Linked DNA regions of Daphnia pulex. Each later gene encodes a partner of the first gene's protein in a complex. Links are inferred from orthologs where the notes say so. Each region holds a gene or a part of one and is shown in the gene's direction. Other genes may lie near its edges.

Region 1 (4,813 bases):
GGTAATCCTTGACCAACTATTCTTTTGCTTGTGGAAGGCTTTATTATTTCGTTCAGCATGTCCACAGGGATCTTCTCTCCTGTTAAAGTGGGTACCTCGACGAGCGTTCCGCAAAGAGCCTACACATAATTAGTTTAGGTAACCTGCTCGAACGAAACTTTTATAATATATTATCTCTTACCTCTCTAAGGGAAACTTTGGAAGTGTAGCGCAGATCGCAGCCATCCCTCTTCAACAGCCCGTGAGGTTTGTCTCGTATGATGAAAACAATATCTGCGGGTATCTTGTTGGGCGTCTGGTCCCCTTCTCGCTGGAACGTGATTTTTGTTCCTGCTTTCCAGCCTGGCTTGACGTTTATGGTTAATACTTTGTCTTCTTTTTTAGACGTGCCATCTGCCTGGTAAACTTTGCGGGAGATTTTCATCTTTTTGGTACATCCTAAAAATAGCCAGCAAAGTAAATCACAAATCCAAGAACTGAGTATTACAAAATAAATTTACCTTTAAGAACTTCTTCTAATGTGACGTTAAGGTCGTATTCAATGGGCGGATCTTGTACTTTCTCTTTTCCCATTCCTGGCCCGTGCATGTTGAAACTCTGAGATCGGAAAGCTCCCCCGGGATTTCTTCCTCCAAATCCCAAGTTGATAAAAGGGTCATCCACGTCCATGTCTTCACCACCTTCTGGAAAGAATCCTCTGTTTCCACCTTGCTGCTGTTGACCCATTCCACCCATTGTGAAGAAGGATTCAAAAGGGTTGGATGAACCGAAAAATTGAGCAAACGTGGCCCTTGGATCACCATGATAGGCGTAGGAAAAGCTGGCACCCGGACCGCCGCCGCCTCCTCCTCCGCCGCCACCACCACTTCCCAATCCACCCTTTTTAAGTACAAATATGATGTAAAAACTTAAGTCATTTAATAGGAGAATAGTTCATTTTCTTACCTTTAATCCTTCTTCTCCATACTGATCAAAGACATCTCTCTTCTTTTTGTCACTTAAAACTTCATATGCTTCTGCTACCTCCTTAAATTTGTCTTCTGCACCTGGTGCTTTATTTTTATCAGGGTGGTATTTCAATGCCAGTTTACGGTATGCCTTCTTGATTTCATCATCAGTAGCTGATTTTGATATTCCAAGAATTTTGTAATAATCTTTTCCCATTTTCATGAAGGAAGCCTAGAATGTATTGGAAAGTGAAAACTAAACAAAAGAGAACTTGATTAATGGAGGGTAATTGGATTTTGCTTGGGGATAACTGAATTTTAAAAAACTCAATATGTTTAAAATAATCTAAGTAGGAAATTCTTAAGGAAAAGAGGGAGAGTAACAAAACGGTGTGATGCGTGATGCCCAAAGAAGGTCAACGATTCAGGGTCGTCGATGACGTCGACTTCTAAGTTTGGACTGTGACACAATTTAACCCACCACCAATACGTACTAGTTAAAACGTTTGATTATTACCTTTCTGTATTACAGAATAGTAGAGCTTGGACTCGAAACACTTAAATGATAAAACGTTTGTTTTATTGGAACACTAGTTGTTCGCAAGAGTAGATTTCTCGACTTAATCGACTCGTACAAGTCACAGCTTCAAATAGCGAGAAAATGAGCCCCAGCGAGTGTATGTATCCGTTTGTTATGAATCGAGAACGTTCTCAAATAGTCTGGAAAACACGTTTCCATCTCCTGGTGGAAAGAAAAACAATTTGTAAGTTTTAACATAGTTCACCCTTTCTAGTACAGATGGTGATAGTGTCGCTGAACAGCTGAACAACTTCTGACCGCTGGGAAAAAGCTCGTGAAATCGTGAAGAACTAAAATAAAAATGCAAGTTAATATTTTGAGTAAATTGCCTCAAAATCTTAAGGTATTTCCATTGCATTCAAAAAATTATCTATTATAAAAATTTAAAAAGTATTTCGTCACCGTACTAATGCGATTCAACGTATTTTAACTGTTTATTGGGGACCAAGACATGTTGAGCCTTCTTTTTTCTTTAATCTGGTGTAGCTATTAAAAAGAATAAACTTATTATGTAATATCTTTTCTTGGTTACAGGTCACTGCAGCTGTCAGGAACCAATTAGCTAACTGCAGATGGTACTCTGACAGTACTGAAGCTGATCTGGTGGTCATTGGCTCGGGCCCTGGTGGTTATGTGGCAGCTATCAAGGCTGCCCAGCTGGGAATGAAAACAGTCTGTGTAGAGAAAAATGCAACCCTTGGAGGCACTTGCCTTAATGTTGGCTGCATTCCTTCCAAAGCACTATTGAATAATTCTCACTACTATCACATGGCCCAAAGTGAATTCAAAAATAGAGGAATTGATGGTGATTAATTATTTTAAGATTTATAATGTGAACTGAATTAAATCAATACTTTTCTCTAGTTACTGGCCTTTCATTGAACCTTCCTCAAATGATGAAAGCAAAAGAAACAGCTGTGAAATCTTTAACTGGAGGAATTGCTCATTTATTCAAGAGCAACAAAGTGACACACATCAGAGGACATGGTAAAATTACTGGTGCGAATGAAGTTACTGCTCTTAAAGAAGATGGAACCCAGGTATTAATTAATAATATTAACTGTGTATTTCATGGAAAATTCTATTTTGTTTTCATCTCGGTAGGAAATCGTCCGAACCAAGAATATTTTGATCGCAACGGGATCAGAAGTGACACCATTCCCCGGAATCGATATCGATGAAGAACAAATTGTCTCGTCTACTGGCGCACTTTGTTTAAAAACCGTTCCAGAGAAAATGATTGTCATCGGAGCAGGAGTCATTGGTTTGGAATTGGTAACATTTACTTTATTTGACATAAAAAAGCTTTAAAAAAATAATATTTAAAAAAAAAAAAAATTCTTAATTAATTAAATAATTATAGGGATCAGTGTGGTCTCGACTTGGAGCCAAGGTGACGGCTGTTGAATTTATGAATCAAATCGGTGGTTTGGGTATTGATCAAGAAATGGCAAAATCGTTCCAAAGAATCCTCACCAAACAACACATGCAATTTAAATTGGGAACCAAAGTGTTGGGAGCACAAAAATCCGGCGGAAAAATCATTGTGAACGTCGAAAATGTCAAATCTGCCAAGAAAGAAGAGGTACTAAACAACACCTCTCCCCTATCCATGGACATACCGTTCTAATTTTATCATATGCCTGATAATTCAGATGGATTGCGACGTTCTACTGGTTTGTGTTGGTCGCCGTCCCTTCACGAAGAGTTTAGGTCTTGAAGAAATGTCCATCGAACTCGACCAGAGAGGAAGAATTCCGGTCAATTCACGTTTCCAGTCCGTTGTCCCCAAGTGAGTATCACCTTACTTAAACGTCTCGGTATAGTGTGTTCTGTACTACATGAAATGTGTTAAACTCGGTAGCATCTACGCCATTGGTGATTGCATTCTCGGCCCCATGCTGGCCCACAAAGCTGAAGATGAAGGCATTATCTGTGTCGAAGGAATTGCAGGAGGATCCGTTCACATCGACTACAACTGCGTACCTTCCGTCATTTACACACACCCTGAAGTTGCTTGGGTTGGAAAATCCGAAGAGGACTTGAAATCAATGGTAATTTCCTAATATTTATACCCTTTTTTAACTTATCATGCTTTATTGAATTTAGGGAGTTGAATACAAAATTGGTAAATTCCCCTTCGCCGCCAACAGCCGCGCCAAGACAAACGATGATACCGATGGTATGGTTAAAATCTTAGGAGACAAGACTACTGATCGCCTTCTTGGAGCTCACATAATTGGACCCGTACGTTATCTTTTGTTTCTACCATGTCATTTAAATTGTAATAAATTACATTTGATGATATTATTCAGGGTGCCGGCGAAATGATCAACGAAGCCGCATTAGCCATGGAATATGGTGCTTCCTGCGAAGACATTGCCCGCGTTTGCCACGCCCATCCGGTATACTAATAATTTGAATTATTGTCCAAGAAAATATTTTCGTCTAACTTCGTTTTTCTCATTTACAGACCTGCTCGGAAGCACTGAGGGAAGCCAGTCTCGCAGCTTTCTCCGGCAAAGCCATCAATTTCTCATAAGCGTTAGCAAGCTTAGATTATAATATAGATAATTCTATGGATTCCCCCATTCTTTAACTGCAGTCCTTGTATGAGGTTGTATGTGTGTAAAAAAAGAAACAAGCTTAAATATAAACGCCTAACATAAAATTCAACCGAAATCATTCTTTATTCACATAAAGACAAGTAATTTTCCATATAGTCGATCACGGCAGTGGTACTGGACAGCGCATTAAAATATCTCCTGTCGACTCGTGACATATTTTTCTCGCACATGTAGATGAGATGATGATGAAAGTGAGTGAAGGAGATACCAGTTTCTAAAGAAAGCTTCATCCAGTCTTTGATGCACTCGATGGGAGTTTCGGAGAATCCAGCAAACATTGCTAAACAAACAGTAGCAAAAGCCAAAATATTAAATCAAATGCTATAAGAAACATGGAGAATAAGATGTTTCAATTACCTGGATTTTCTAAGATTCCTCTAGCTGACATGACTCCTAGATATTTAAAAGAAGGGTAATGGCAGTTCCAGACTGTCCGTAATCATATCGACAGTTTACCGTTGACGTTAGTTATTTGTTGAACGTGCTCAGCATCTTGAAGGCTACAAATATCTCCATTAGCTATCACTGGGACCCTAACACTTTCTTTGATCAATTTTACACCCTCTAAATTAACTGGATCAGATCTCTGATCTTTGGTTCTACCATGAACTGTTAGAAAGGATAGACCTGCTGCCTCCACTTGTTGACACAACTCCACT
Region 2 (4,921 bases), on another chromosome or scaffold:
GCCATGGTAACAAGGAACAGCGAAATTATGTCATCACTGCGTTAAGCGGAAAAGTTGTTTTTCTTATGAAACACAAGGTATGCATCTATTTAACACCATCTTCTTTATTTCAATATTTGGCTAATTAATTCTTTATTATTTATCAGTTCGCCTCCAAAGTGGTTGAAACGGCATACAACGATTGGGCTAACGCAAGTCAACGCGCTCTGCTGAGCCAGGAATTTTATGGACCTGAATTTAAACTTTTTAAAGATGAGTCCATTACTACGTTGAGTGCCGCTCTGGCTAAACATCCCGAGAAGAGAGAAGTATTCCTAAAGCATATGAACCAGGCCATCGAACCAATCATTGCCAAAGGTTTGTTGATTTGATACCAATATTCGATTGTATTCAACCGTCTAATCGATTTTTTAATTGGAAAAGGTGTCTTCAATCACAGTTTATTGCATCGTTTGACTAATGAGTACCTTACTCACTGCAAAGAGAATGAACGCTCTGAAATGATCCAAAGTCTTCGTCAGGCAGTCGTTCAAGTTTTGCACACTCGCGATGGAGCTCGAGTTGGAATGACGTGCCTCTGGTATGGTACCCAAAAAGATCGAAAGGTAAATTTAAATTTTATTTATTTTGTGTTCGAAATTATATCTCACCCGCCTGTCTATTGAAAATTATATAGGATATCATCAAAAGTTTCAAAGGTCACGTAACCAAGATCTGCTTAGAGGAGCACGGCCACATGGTGCTGATGGCGCTTTTCGATTCCGTGGATGACACCAAACTCGTTGCCAAAGCTATTGTCACAGAAATTGCTACCAACTGGAGAGAGATTGCTGTTCACGAGCACGGCCGAAAGGTTGTCATGTACTTGCTTGCTGGCCGCGATCCCAAGTTCACCCATCCACAGATTATTGACATATTGAAGCAAGGAGACGGTAATCCCAACAGCAAGAAAGATATGGAAACTCGTCACAAGGAACTTCTCCAGTATGCCTCCCCTTCCTGGTTGGAAGCTGTCTCACACGAACCTGAAATGTGGTTGAAAGATAGCAAAAACTGTCTTGTTCTTGGCTCCATTCTCAAATTTTGCGTCGGGGAAGAATTGCAAGCTGCTTTTAAAGCAGTGGCTTCAGTTATTGGTAACCCACTCGACCAAGATCTGAGAAACGCGTTTAGCTCTAGTGGCGAAAAAGTTCAATATTGGGTTGAACAGTCGGCTGTTCATATGACGGTTAAAAAGCTAATTCAGTTTGACAAGCTACGAACGCAACCTCCCTATTTTAGCCAGGCAATCATCGATGAAGTAGACTCTGATGAGATTAAAGGTTGGCTAAGCTGCAATCGCGGTTCTTTCTTGCTCGTTGGAATGGTTGAAACCGAAATTGACAGTGTCATACAAGCAGTTTTAGAAAAACTTAAAAATTTGAGGAAATTTCTACAAAAACAAACCAACAAAGGCTCTGACATCCTTGATTCCAAATTGGCGAAGTTGGAACCAATCTAGACTTCACTGTTGAACTGTAATCGAAAAAAAATCATTGGAATAAAAAATAATTTCTGGAACATTTTGTATTTTTTTTTTAATTTAAAACAAATAAGAATTTTGTGTTGCCATATTTGCAAATTTATTTATTTTAAATTATTATTTTATAAATAATTTCAATAAATATAAGTGTGTGCTCAGCGCCATCTTCTCTCCGTCGGACGTGATAAGTGTAGAATTTTTCCTCTGCGAGTAAACATGGCTTCTGCTTCACGACGAATTGTTTGTAGTTTTCGACAACATAAGTTGTTCTACCTGGTAATTAGATTTTTAATTTGTCAACTAGATTCGATAGAATAATTTAAAAATTTATCCCGTTTTAAATAACACCTAGAAATCACGATTGCAATACAATGCCGTTCCATTGCTTATTTCTCGTTTCGGACCCTGCGGTCACGTCGAACAATTTCATCCAATAACTACTAGATTTTTTCATTCTTCGAAACCTTTTTATGGAGAGAAAGTACCCTTCAAACTTTCAGATATTGGAGAGGGAATCACGGAAGTTACGGTTAAAGAATGGTAATAGTCTTTGTTTAACATTTATTGTTCACTGTATTTATATGAGATTGAAATCAATTCTAAAGGTATGTCAAGGAAGGTGATAAAGTGGCTCAGTTTGACCCCATCTGTGAAGTTCAGAGTGACAAAGCATCAGTTACCATTACCAGTCGCTATGATGGAATCATTAGCAAGTTGCATTATGCTACAGACGATATGGCCAAAGTGGGTACACCATTGGTAGATATAGAAGTCAGTGGTTCAGTCACAGGTACAAAAAACAGTGATTCTTGTTTCACTTGATTTTGTGTTGCTTATAGTTTTTTTTTTTAGAAGAGCCTGTTGAAGAGTTGCAAGAAAAAGATGCCATACCCCTCGGTGAAAGAGAAGACGAGAGTTTGGATACTCTAGAACTTCCAGCAGAAAAGGTATTGACAACACCATCTGTTAGAAAAATGGCCAGTGATCATAAGGTATGTTTTAGCGACTGAACTTTAATAGAAATTCTGTCAGTAAAACTTGGTTTTAATATTATAGATAAATCTACGAGATGTACAAGGAAGTGGGAGAGACGGACGTATCTTGAAGGAAGATATGCTTCGGCACATTGAAACTCTTCGTAGCTCTAAGAGCGCCCCGAAAGCTAAACAACAGGCGCCCCAGGAACAACCTAAACCTGTTGCAGCTACCTCCCAACAGCCGTCGCCTTCAACAAAAAGCCCACAGCAAGTGAGACCAGCCTGTCCGGTTGGAGTGGACCGCACTGAGTCGATTAAAGGATTTAAGAAGGCTATGGCAAAGTCCATGACTAATGCACTGGTATGATCAAGAGATTTCACGTTCATATTTTCGGTTCATAATTTTCAAGATATTTATTTTTTAAAGCGAATTCCTCATTTTGGTTATTGTGATGAAATTGACATGACATCAATGGCTACGCTGAGACATTCTCTGAAAGAGAATCCAATGGTTAAAGAGCGAGGCATTAAGTTGTCTTTCATGCCATTCTTCATTAAAGCTGCATCCATGGCTCTGCAACAGTTCCCAGTTCTTAATGCTTCGGTTGACGAAGCTTGCGAAAATATTACTTACAAGTATGTAACCAAAAAAAAAAAAAAAAGTTTCTTTCTCACGTAAATAATTATTGAACTTCTTTTATTTAGAGCCTCTCATAATATTGGATTTGCCATGGATACGAGTCTCGGTTTAATTGTGCCGAATGTAAAAAATGTCCAATCATTGTCTGTGATGGATGTTGCTATCGAACTAGCCAGGCTGCAGGAGCTAGGCAATAAAGGAGTTTTGGGCACTGCAGATTTAACCGGTGGAACTTTCACCTTATCCAACATTGGATCGGTTGGATATAAATCTCTTAATATATTTTATTGATTACTTTTTATAAATTCCTCGTTTAAAACGTTTTCCCTTTTAATTTCAGATAGGAGGAACTTATGCCAAACCCGTCATTATGCCGCCGGAGGTTGCTATTGGAGCAATAGGACGTGTCCAGGTAGTTTTTAAATTTCGGCAACCTTTAATTATTCAGATGATTCAGTAGTATTGAATTGTTTAGGTACTTCCTCGTTTCAACAACAAAGGTGAGGTGGTGAGAGCATCCATCATGCAAGTTAGTTGGTCTGCTGACCATCGAGTGATTGATGGCGCCTCAATGGCGCGATTTTCCAATTTGTGGAAGGCTTATCTAGAAAATCCCAGCATTATGATCTTAGACTTGAAATGAATATTCAAATACTAATAATGAAGTACTCTACAATCCGTGTCCTCCTGGCGGAAGGGTACGTTTCTAAATTTAATAAAAGAGGATCTATATTAGTGTATAATGGTCGCGAAGTGAAATCTCAACAGCATGGGACTCAGTCATATGGTCAGTATGATCATCAGTGTATGAAAAAAAAAGAAACTTGATATAATATACTGCCTATCTGTTATTTCACTAAGATAACAGATTAGTCCTACACGTGAAATTTTCTTTTAAATGTTTTTCTTTTACTTAAGTTTAATATTTTAAATTAAACAAACAATATGACTGTGTTTGTGAATTTGTAGTTTTATGTACTATTTATCCAGTGTGAACAACATTTTCTTGTACTAGTAATGCCATGTTTAATTTTTAATATTATTTACTTTATGTGATGCAACTTTAACAGGAGATAGTGGAGACGGACTTGGTCAGTGGCCCACTTGTCTGCCCGCTAGGTTAAGAAAACCAACGTATCTGTCATCTGTCATGAATTACCTGTTCGTAAGTTTTCGTAATGTTTTGGGAATTTCCCTCAGAAATAGTAAATCACCCAATTACTTACGATTCGGTTCGGTGTGCGCGGTTGCGTCGGTTTAAAATTGAGCAAATAGAGAAGCTTGTTGTGCGCAAAACAGAAACATTTGTAATGACTTTCTCAATCCGAATGAAATATTCAAATACTCCCTAAAATCGTTAAATAACCTAACCAAACACAAAAAACAGTAACTACACAATAACCGTCTAAGCCAACGAGCCCCCTAGCGGGATAATGGATTACATCGAATGAAGCCACAACCCCGCCAAATAAACGAAATCAGGTCTAGGCGGGCTGGGAAATGTTTTTTAGCCTTTTCTCTAAACATGTTTTCATCTTTTTTAGAAGATCTGATGTCAAATAGCGTTGCTGTGGCCCGGTCCGAAATTTTTAGGATTTTTTCAGGGGGTGACCGGTCCCGGCAACCGAACGGTTGCACCGGACCGTTGAGGGCCTTACAAAAACCCAAAATTGTGAAATTTAAATTTACACTGGAAAGGAAAGATGAAATGTAATATTTTCCAACTGTGACAACAACCCAACCTATGTAGGTTGAAATGTAGATCTCCTTGAATAGTTCATT

What was found.
Region 2: the proteins of dihydrolipoyl dehydrogenase, mitochondrial-like (region 1) and lipoamide acyltransferase component of branched-chain alpha-keto acid dehydrogenase complex, mitochondrial-like are in contact, whole or in part, in a crystal structure (PDB 3RNM), measured with the Homo sapiens proteins. The link is inferred for Daphnia pulex from reciprocal best matches to the Homo sapiens genes DLD and DBT. Residues at the interface, in NP_000099.2 of Homo sapiens: Ser446, Thr447, Asp448, Arg449, Glu472, Tyr473, Gly474, Ser476, Glu478, Asp479, Arg482; in NP_001909.4 of Homo sapiens: Thr174, Pro175, Ala176, Lys196, Arg199, Leu201, Lys202, Glu203, Leu206.

The regions. Positions count from the first base shown.
Region 1 is NC_060019.1:6,199,694-6,204,506, forward strand, and holds dihydrolipoyl dehydrogenase, mitochondrial-like, read left to right. Parts: upstream 1-1,723; 5' UTR 1,724-1,828; coding exon 1,829-1,870; intron 1,871-2,061; coding exon 2,062-2,332; intron 2,333-2,391; coding exon 2,392-2,567; intron 2,568-2,631; coding exon 2,632-2,802; intron 2,803-2,890; coding exon 2,891-3,112; intron 3,113-3,182; coding exon 3,183-3,319; intron 3,320-3,391; coding exon 3,392-3,581; intron 3,582-3,636; coding exon 3,637-3,774; intron 3,775-3,842; coding exon 3,843-3,932; intron 3,933-4,000; coding exon 4,001-4,069; 3' UTR 4,070-4,198; downstream 4,199-4,813. Other genes in the region: dnaJ protein homolog 1-like, read right to left, coding at 1-119, 182-438, 501-879, 946-1,170; tRNA-dihydrouridine(20a/20b) synthase [NAD(P)+]-like, read right to left, coding at 4,217-4,434, 4,512-4,547, 4,611-4,813. UniProt on the Homo sapiens protein: Lipoamide dehydrogenase is a component of the glycine cleavage system as well as an E3 component of three alpha-ketoacid dehydrogenase complexes (pyruvate-, alpha-ketoglutarate-, and branched-chain amino acid-dehydrogenase complex).
Region 2 is NC_060026.1:4,119,426-4,124,346, reverse strand, and holds lipoamide acyltransferase component of branched-chain alpha-keto acid dehydrogenase complex, mitochondrial-like, read left to right. Parts: upstream 1-1,658; 5' UTR 1,659-1,738; coding exon 1,739-1,798; intron 1,799-1,874; coding exon 1,875-2,062; intron 2,063-2,127; coding exon 2,128-2,312; intron 2,313-2,374; coding exon 2,375-2,514; intron 2,515-2,578; coding exon 2,579-2,860; intron 2,861-2,926; coding exon 2,927-3,135; intron 3,136-3,204; coding exon 3,205-3,397; intron 3,398-3,479; coding exon 3,480-3,551; intron 3,552-3,614; coding exon 3,615-3,782; 3' UTR 3,783-4,026; downstream 4,027-4,921. Other genes in the region: pumilio homolog 3-like, read left to right, coding at 1-77, 147-357, 424-605, 677-1,501. UniProt on the Homo sapiens protein: The branched-chain alpha-keto dehydrogenase complex catalyzes the overall conversion of alpha-keto acids to acyl-CoA and CO(2).